2 linked regions of the Rattus norvegicus genome follow. Each later gene encodes a partner of the first gene's protein in a complex. Links are inferred from orthologs where the notes say so. Each region holds a gene or a part of one and is shown in the gene's direction. Other genes may lie near its edges.

Region 1 (3,810 bases):
ACTGGAGGCTTCTGACTTGGAGTTCTATGGAGAGGCTTCCTGAGGCTCCTTTACTTGACCCACCTGGGAATGGCTTTTTCAGCCTCTGACTGTTCTTTTCATCAGCATCAACATTAGGAAATCTGACAGTGCTAGGTCCTGTTAGTCCTCTCAGCTTTGGGCTGGCCCTTTAGTTCCTATGAAACCCTAGGTCTAATCCTCAGTGTCACAAAAACAAAAAGCTTTGCCAAGTTGTTCACGTGACGGTTTCTTTGGGCTGGTATGCTTGCAGGGAGGGAGCAGAAGTATCTGGGTTCCTCAAGCTCTGGGCATTTGTCTTTAGGACAGCTACCACCACCACTTGTGTTACCATCCGTCTGTCCTCTTCTCTCCAATTATTTTATGTGAACACTAGACCTGGAAACCAGGCTTCAGCCCAAGATCTGGGCCTCCCTCAGGAAAGGATCCAAAAATGGGGGTCTTTGCTCTGGGTGTCTTTCACTTCACATGGGCAAGATGTGGTATTGACTAAAGAAATGCCTATGTAGGCACCTGGACCTTGCCAAACATTCCAGCAGTTCAGTCCAGCAGGCACAAGCGAAGGAAACCCACAATCTCCAAATAGCTCCTTTCTGTGGAGGGAAAGGTGTAGGGTTCACAGAATAAAGGGTTTGTAGCTGCTGTGGTGGTTCTTGATGCTCAAAGGTCACACCAAGGGCCTTTGAGGAGTTCAAGGGCTAGTGTCCCCTCAGAAAATGCATTGACATTCTCTCATGGAGAGAAATACTGCTCTGCCGGGAGCCCTGTCTTGGGGTGTCTGTCAAGGATTTCAGAGGTGAGTAGAGGGCAGAGCAGAGGGAGCTCTACTACAGAGCTACATTTCCAGTCCCTTCTTTACTTGCCTTTCGAGACTGAGTCTCTGTGTCACATCTCTGAGGGGAAAGGTGTCCTGGAAGTCTGGTGCCAAGGAATAGCACAAAGTCACACCACACAACAAGCCTCATTCAAGAGATTTATTGGGAAAGACAGAAGGCAGCTACCTCGTTTTGGGCCAGAAGTAGCCAAGAACCGTGAGAGGCAATCTTGTATAGGATTTCTTGGGAGGGTGGGGTGGTGGACCAAGTTTTCCAGGGTGGGGATTGGTGGGATTTCAAATCCTGAGCTAGGGACAAGCTCAGGGATTGGTGAGTTTTCAGCGGCAGGAGGACATGCTCCCTGTTGCAGGAGAGGCTCCTTCAAGCAGGGGCCTGAGACTCAGCCTTAGGACCGGTGCTGTATCTGAGCCCCAAACCAAGTTTGTTTGGTTCACTTTTCTTTTTCTTTTTTTTATTGTCACTTTTATTTTTATTTTTGGTTATTTGGTGGTGTTTGAGATCAAATTCAGAATGTTGGCCATGCTAGGCAAGCCCTCTTCCATTGAAAACTATCCCTGACCCTCCAAAACAGGCTTAATACCTTTTCAGATTTACCTCATGTATGAGGTTTTGCCTGCGTGTATGTATGTGTAACCACACATGTGTCAGATCTGCTAGAATTGCAGTTATGAATGGTTATGAACCACCGTACCGGTGCTGGGAATCAAACTCAGGTCCTCTGCAAGAGCAACAAGTGCTCTTAACCTCTGAGCAGCTCTCCAGTCCCAGGTTTTAAAATTTTACCTTAACTCTTACTTAAGTAAATCCAGTTTGTTGCTGTTTGAGACAGAGCCTTATTGTGTATGCCAGGCTTCCCTGAAATTCATGTGTAGGCCTTGCTGGTCTTGAACTCGCAGTGATCTTCCTGCTTTAGCCGCCTAAGTATACTGAGATTATAGTCAAGAGCCATCTCCCCCAACCCCTTCTTCTTCTGAAGGCTAGTCTTGAACTCCTGGCACTCCTGCCTCCACCTCTCCACTGCTGGAATTACAGGTGTGTGTGCATTACACAGCTGGCTGGCTTCTGGTCTGTTATAGTTGTGCTTTGTGTACGTGCTCATACTGTGTGCTTTTACAGATGTCACTCATGAGGCCTTTCTCATGAAAGCCCTCAGGCTCAGCCCCACACTCCTCTCAGTCCACAGTATCTGTATCTCACTTTGCCTTGCTTTAGGCTGCGTGCCTTGGAACATGAGGAAGCACTGCCCAGCCATCACACATATGTCTGCTGTTTCCTGAGGCAGTGATTGGAAGAGTACAGGCTCTGTGAGATACGTAGCCATGACCTACCAAATCCCGAACTGTGTTTTTCCAACCTGTGGCCGGCCGGGTGAATGATCTGTAAGGGTGCTACAGCGTCTTGCAGCCACTGTGCTGCCAGCTACACAGTGGCAGCAGCTCTAAAACAACGCTCTCTCCTCTCTTGCAGGGCCCCCGGCATGGTGCTCAAGGCCTTCTTCCCCACATGCTGTGCCTCAGCAGACAGTGGCCTATTGGTGGGACGGTGGGTCCCAGGACAGAATAGTGCTGTGATCCTGGCTGTGGTGCACTTTCCCTTCATCCCCATCCAAGTCAAGGAGCTCCTGGCCCAGGTGCAGAAGGCTAGCCAAGTACAAGTGACTGTGCTAGGCACCTGGTGCCACCGTCAGCAGGAACCAGAGGAGAGCCTGGGGAAATTCCTAGAGGGCCTGGGTGCCATCTTCTCCCATAATCCCTGGTTGCAGCTATGCCGGGAGAAGGGCACCAGATTCTGGAGCTGCAAGGCCACTTACCATCAGATGTCTAGCACTCTGGACACACCCACTGAAGACCAGGTCATGCTCATTTTCTATGACCAGCGCAAGCTGCTGCTCTCCTGGCTGCATCCACCTCCGGTACTACCTGACTGCCAGATTGGAGACAGCACAGCCAGCACTGGAGGCCTAGCTGACATCTTTGACACAGTGGCACGCAGTGAGGTTCTCTTCCGAAATGACCAGTTTGATGAGGGACCTGTGCGCCTGAGCCACTGGCAATCAGAGGGAGTGGAGGCCAGTATACTTGTGGAGCTGGCAAAGCGGGCCTCTGGGCCTGTCTGCCTGCTGCTGGCTTCTCTGCTGTCCCTGATCTCAGCAGCCAGTGCTTGTCGGTAAGTGCCTCAGACAGGAAAGGTAGAATAAGAAACTGGTCCCTCGAGAACCACAGGCTCTCCCTTCAGTGTGCAGTGGCATCGATAGCCAGAGGGTCCCTCCTGAGGCTGGTGTTCCTGGGACCCAGTTCTCGTCTTCCCTTCCCTCCCTTTGCATGGTAGAGCATATCGTAGTAAAGGCTGCTGTTCCTGGAGACCGACTGTGTGAGGCCCACCTAGTTGGGTGTAGAATGAATCGCAGACAGTGCAAGCACCAAAGAGAGAACTCTGATGAGCACAAGCCTAGGTTATTGCACTCCTAAAATAATTATATGTAGCTGGACAGTGGAGATGCACACCTTTAACCCCAGCCCTCGGGAGGCAGAGGCAGGGGGATCTCTGTGAACTCAAGGCCAGCCTGGTCCACAAATCAAGTCCAGGACAGCCAGGGATATTATACAGAGAAACCCTGTCTCAAAAAAAAACTACGTATGTATGAATGTTTGTCTGCATTTATGTATCCTGTGCATCCCCAGTCAGAGAGAGGGTCATGTGGGTGCTAGGAATTAAACCTTGTCTTCTGCTTATCTCACTAATTTTTGTGTTTGGGACAGGGTCTCAGCTATATAGTCTTGGCTGGCCTGGAACTCGCTATGTGGACCAGGCTGGCCTCAAGTTCTGCCTGTGAGAGTGCAATACCTGCCTTGCCTGCAGTGACCTGTGAGGACACAGAACTGCCCACTCCCCTGCTTTTCTGTTTTCCCCACAGCTGGCTTCAGGGGCAGTTCCTCTCCAGGCCAGCCAGTTGTCT
Region 2 (3,646 bases), on another chromosome or scaffold:
TTTTACACTTTTTGCAGGAGTACACGCGGGTGTGCTGCAGTACATGCGTGGAGGTCAGAGGACAATGCGAGAAGAAAATAGGTTCTCCACCGTGGGGGTGGGGGTCCCCGAGGATCGAACTCAGTTACTAAGGCTTGGCAGGAAACGCCCGTACTCGCTGAGCCCTCTCATCGGCCCAAACTACTATTTTGACATTCACCAATTCAAACGTAAAACGACGGATCGGACTCGTTCCCCGCTGCTTCAGAGGCTGGGTGATGGTGGCTGCGACCAAGTTTGATTCAGGCTTCAAGTTTATCAGTTAGAAATGGGGAAAGCTTTTCAGCGCAGAAAGACACCGGTCTGCTCTGGAACGCCGTGAACACACTCTGCGGCAAATACGTTCCTCTCCAAGGTCCAGCAGTCCTGGCACACAGGACGCCCAGCCGGAGGCCGTGGGGTCCGGGGCAGGGAGGTCCTTATCAATCAGGGTCCTCTCAGCACCCCTCTGGCTTCACCCGTCACTCAAGACTACGGGGGCGGAGCCTGAGCGCCGGAGCGAAGGCGTGGTGCGCTGTCCAATGAGCACGCGCGGATCGGCTCCCTCGCGGGATCTGGGTTTCTTACCCCGCCCCCTCAGGGATTTGATTGGGCGGCTGGCCCGGGTGCTCCGCCTTCGTAGAGCGGTGACGGTCACAGCCAGGCGCAGCCGGGACCCGGACATTTACAGGCCAGTGAATGGTGAGTTCAGGGTCTCGAGATCCGATACGGGCGGAGGAGCTGTTGGAACCGGCTGGGACAGGACTCGCGCTAGCAAGGCGTCTGCGCCACGGACGCCTCCGGTTCCGCTTGGCTGGCTGGTTCACTTTCGATTCGGCCGGGTTCTCCTCTGCCCTGTTCGGCTTGGTCCGGTTCTCTCCGGCTTGGCTCGGTTCTCTCCGGCTTGGCTCGGTTCTCTCCGACCCGGCCATCGCTACCCTCGGTCAGCCAGAGACTGCAGCGGGACCCGGGTGCCCCTTCGCGTCCCCGAGGCGACTGGGCCCAGGGCTGGCGCTGTCTTCACTCTGTGCATTGACGACGGGCGGCTCGTGACGAGGCTCCGGGTTCCGGTGCTGGTCCCCAGCCGGTCCTCGTCGTACGGGAAGCCTCCACTCAGGTGTCTGAAGTGAATCTGGATTTGTAGGTCTCATTCCGCTTCCTCGGTTCGAGAAAACACTATCAGTCCACCTGTCCTTCATTCTGCTTTTCGAATTTCTTAGTTCCCAAAGAAATGGATGACACTTGAGTGTTTTGAAGGTTTGTTTTCTAGTCGGGCGTGGTGGCTTGGGAAGACTGATGCAAGAGGATCCCAATGTTTGAGGCCAGACTGCAAGTGACAGCAATCCTCCTGCCTTTAACCTGCTCAGTACTGTACAGGCTGTTTCCCCTTCTTTTCCTTTCCCTTCCCCTCATCTTGTCATCTTGCACTTTTCTCATACAGTAAGGAATCCTTTAGCCAGCGCTGCGAGGGACACGTGTGTTGTCTGCAGTCGCTGGTAACCGCTTCGTGTGGTGGTGGATTGGATCAGAACGAGGCTGAGGAGCCGTCACCCTCAGCCTGGGACCGCTGAAGTTTTTGTGTGCTCTTGGGAAGCATGCCTGGATGAAAGAGGAGTCCAGAGAAAGGGAAGATAAGACAGGAGTGCACCAGCACAAGAACATAACTTTGAAAACAACCGAGTTTTCTTGAACTGTATACCTTCAGAAGGGAGGAGGATGATCCTGTCTCTGCCCACCCTGACTGTCCTCATCCCGCTCATCTCCCTGGCGGGCCTGTTCTACTCCGCCTCTGTGGAAGAAAACTTCCCAGAGGGCTGTACCAGCGCCAGCAGCCTGTGCTTCTACAGTTTGCTTCTGCCGGTCACCGTACCGGTGTACGTGTTCTTCCACCTGTGGACTTGGATGGGCCTGAAGCTCTTCAGACATAACTAGGGTAGCTGAGGCCCCGCTTGTGCACGGGGCAAGAGGCTCCTGGTTGTTGGGTTCTGCCCTCAGGTGTTGCAGATTCTCCTGTTAGTGCTGTAGCTGAAAAACACTTACAATAAATATGTCCCAAGGGAGAGGAACATGACCGGTCTTCATCCGAAGACTGTTTTTTCTAAGATTTATTCTTAATTATGTGGATATGAGTGTGGGTCCCCAAAGAGGCCACACGAGGGTTGGAGGTACGAGCAACTGTAAGACTGCCGGAGCTTTACTCAGATCCTCTGCAAGGGCAAGCAAGTTCATGTCCTTAACCCCTGAGCATCTCTCCACCTGCCTGTTTCCTCCCTTCCCTTAGTTCTGGCTAACCTCAAACTGTGAGAGGCAGACCTTGACCTCCTTACCTTCCTGTCTCTACCTCCTGAGTGCTGAAGTTATAGGCAAGCATTGCCGCATGTGTTTATGTGGTCTGGCAGAACCCAGGTCGTGAACGCTAAGTCGGCACTCTGCCAGCCAACCACCCTGAGGACTGTGTTGTTGTTGTTGTTGTTTTGAGTCCATTCATTTAAAAGTCCGTCATTTGGAAGCCGAGCAGTGGTGGCACTCACCTTTACTCCCAGCACTCGGGAGACAGAGGTGGATCTCTTGAGTTTGGGCCAGCACAACGAGACTGTAAAAATAATAATTTGGGATTTTGTTTCAGCTTCAAGGTCAGTGGTGAGGTGTTGGATCTGCTGAGACAAGGGTTTCAGATGGTTGGGAACTACTGTGTGGGTGCTGAAGAAAATCCAGTGCTCAGGGATGACTCCTTTGAGGAGCTGAGTGGTCCGTAGGTTGGTGGCTCACAACTGCCTGTATTTCCAGTTCCAGAGGCTCTGACTCCCTCTGCTGGACTCTGGGTACCTGCACACCTGTGACATGTCTATTCATTCACACACATTAATAAATTTATTTTTAAGAGGGAAAAAAATCTGACTATAAACTTACCTTCATTGTTTTTTCTTTTACATTTATTTTTTTTCTTTTCTTTTTTTTCAGAGCTGGGGACCGAACCCAGGGCCTTGCACTTGCTAGGCAAGCGCTCTACCACTGAGCTAAATCCCCAACCCCTCTTTTACATTTATTTATATGAGTACACTCTAGCTGTCTTCAGACACACCAGAAGAGGGCATTGGGTCCCATTACAGATGGTTGTGAGCCACCATGTGGTTGCTGGGAATTGAACTCAGGACCTCTGGAAGAGCAGCCAGTGCTCTTAACCACTGAGCCATCTCTCCAGCCCCTACCATCATTTTTTCAGTGTCAGGTGAGCAAGGTCAGTGTTGGTGTTTTCTGGTTCTTGGATTCTTATTCAAGGAATAAAGGCCCATATACAGATTTTCAAAGTTGCAAGGAAATTTCACTCAAAGCAGAGCTAGATCAGGCATGCAGATACATGAGCCTATGGGGGCTCTTCTTACTCAACCACGACACCTGTTCTCCCAGCCTAAATTCCTCTGACTCCTTATGACTCCCTGTACCTCTAAGTTCAGAGGCTCTGCCTCCAAAAGCACTGTACTCAGGTTTTTAACACACACCCCTAAAAATAAACACAAAGTTTTCAAAAAAGAGAACATGTTTTCTTTGGCTGAAAGCCGTCCATCCTTGCTTGAAGGTAAGCCAGAGATGGGTGTGACCATTGCCAGTTCTTGATGCCTGCATTGGA

What was found.
Region 2: Pigq (region 1) and Pigy share a complex: the UniProt entries of both Homo sapiens proteins name them as parts of the glycosylphosphatidylinositol-N-acetylglucosaminyltransferase (GPI-GnT) complex. The link is inferred for Rattus norvegicus from reciprocal best matches to the Homo sapiens genes PIGQ and PIGY.

Annotation. Positions count from the first base shown.
Region 1 is NC_086028.1:15,456,582-15,460,391, reverse strand, and holds part of Pigq (phosphatidylinositol N-acetylglucosaminyltransferase subunit Q), read left to right. Parts: intron 1-2,321; 5' UTR 2,322-2,331; coding exon 2,332-3,020; intron 3,021-3,810. UniProt on the Homo sapiens protein: Part of the glycosylphosphatidylinositol-N-acetylglucosaminyltransferase (GPI-GnT) complex that catalyzes the transfer of N-acetylglucosamine from UDP-N-acetylglucosamine to phosphatidylinositol and participates in the first step of GPI biosynthesis.
Region 2 is NC_086026.1:28,964,966-28,968,611, forward strand, and holds Pigy (phosphatidylinositol N-acetylglucosaminyltransferase subunit Y), read left to right. Parts: upstream 1-1,459; 5' UTR 1,460-1,734; coding exon 1,735-1,950; 3' UTR 1,951-2,911; downstream 2,912-3,646. Other genes in the region: uncharacterized protein Pigyl1, read left to right, coding at 65-274, 510-1,148. UniProt on the Homo sapiens protein: Part of the glycosylphosphatidylinositol-N-acetylglucosaminyltransferase (GPI-GnT) complex that catalyzes the transfer of N-acetylglucosamine from UDP-N-acetylglucosamine to phosphatidylinositol and participates in the first step of GPI biosynthesis.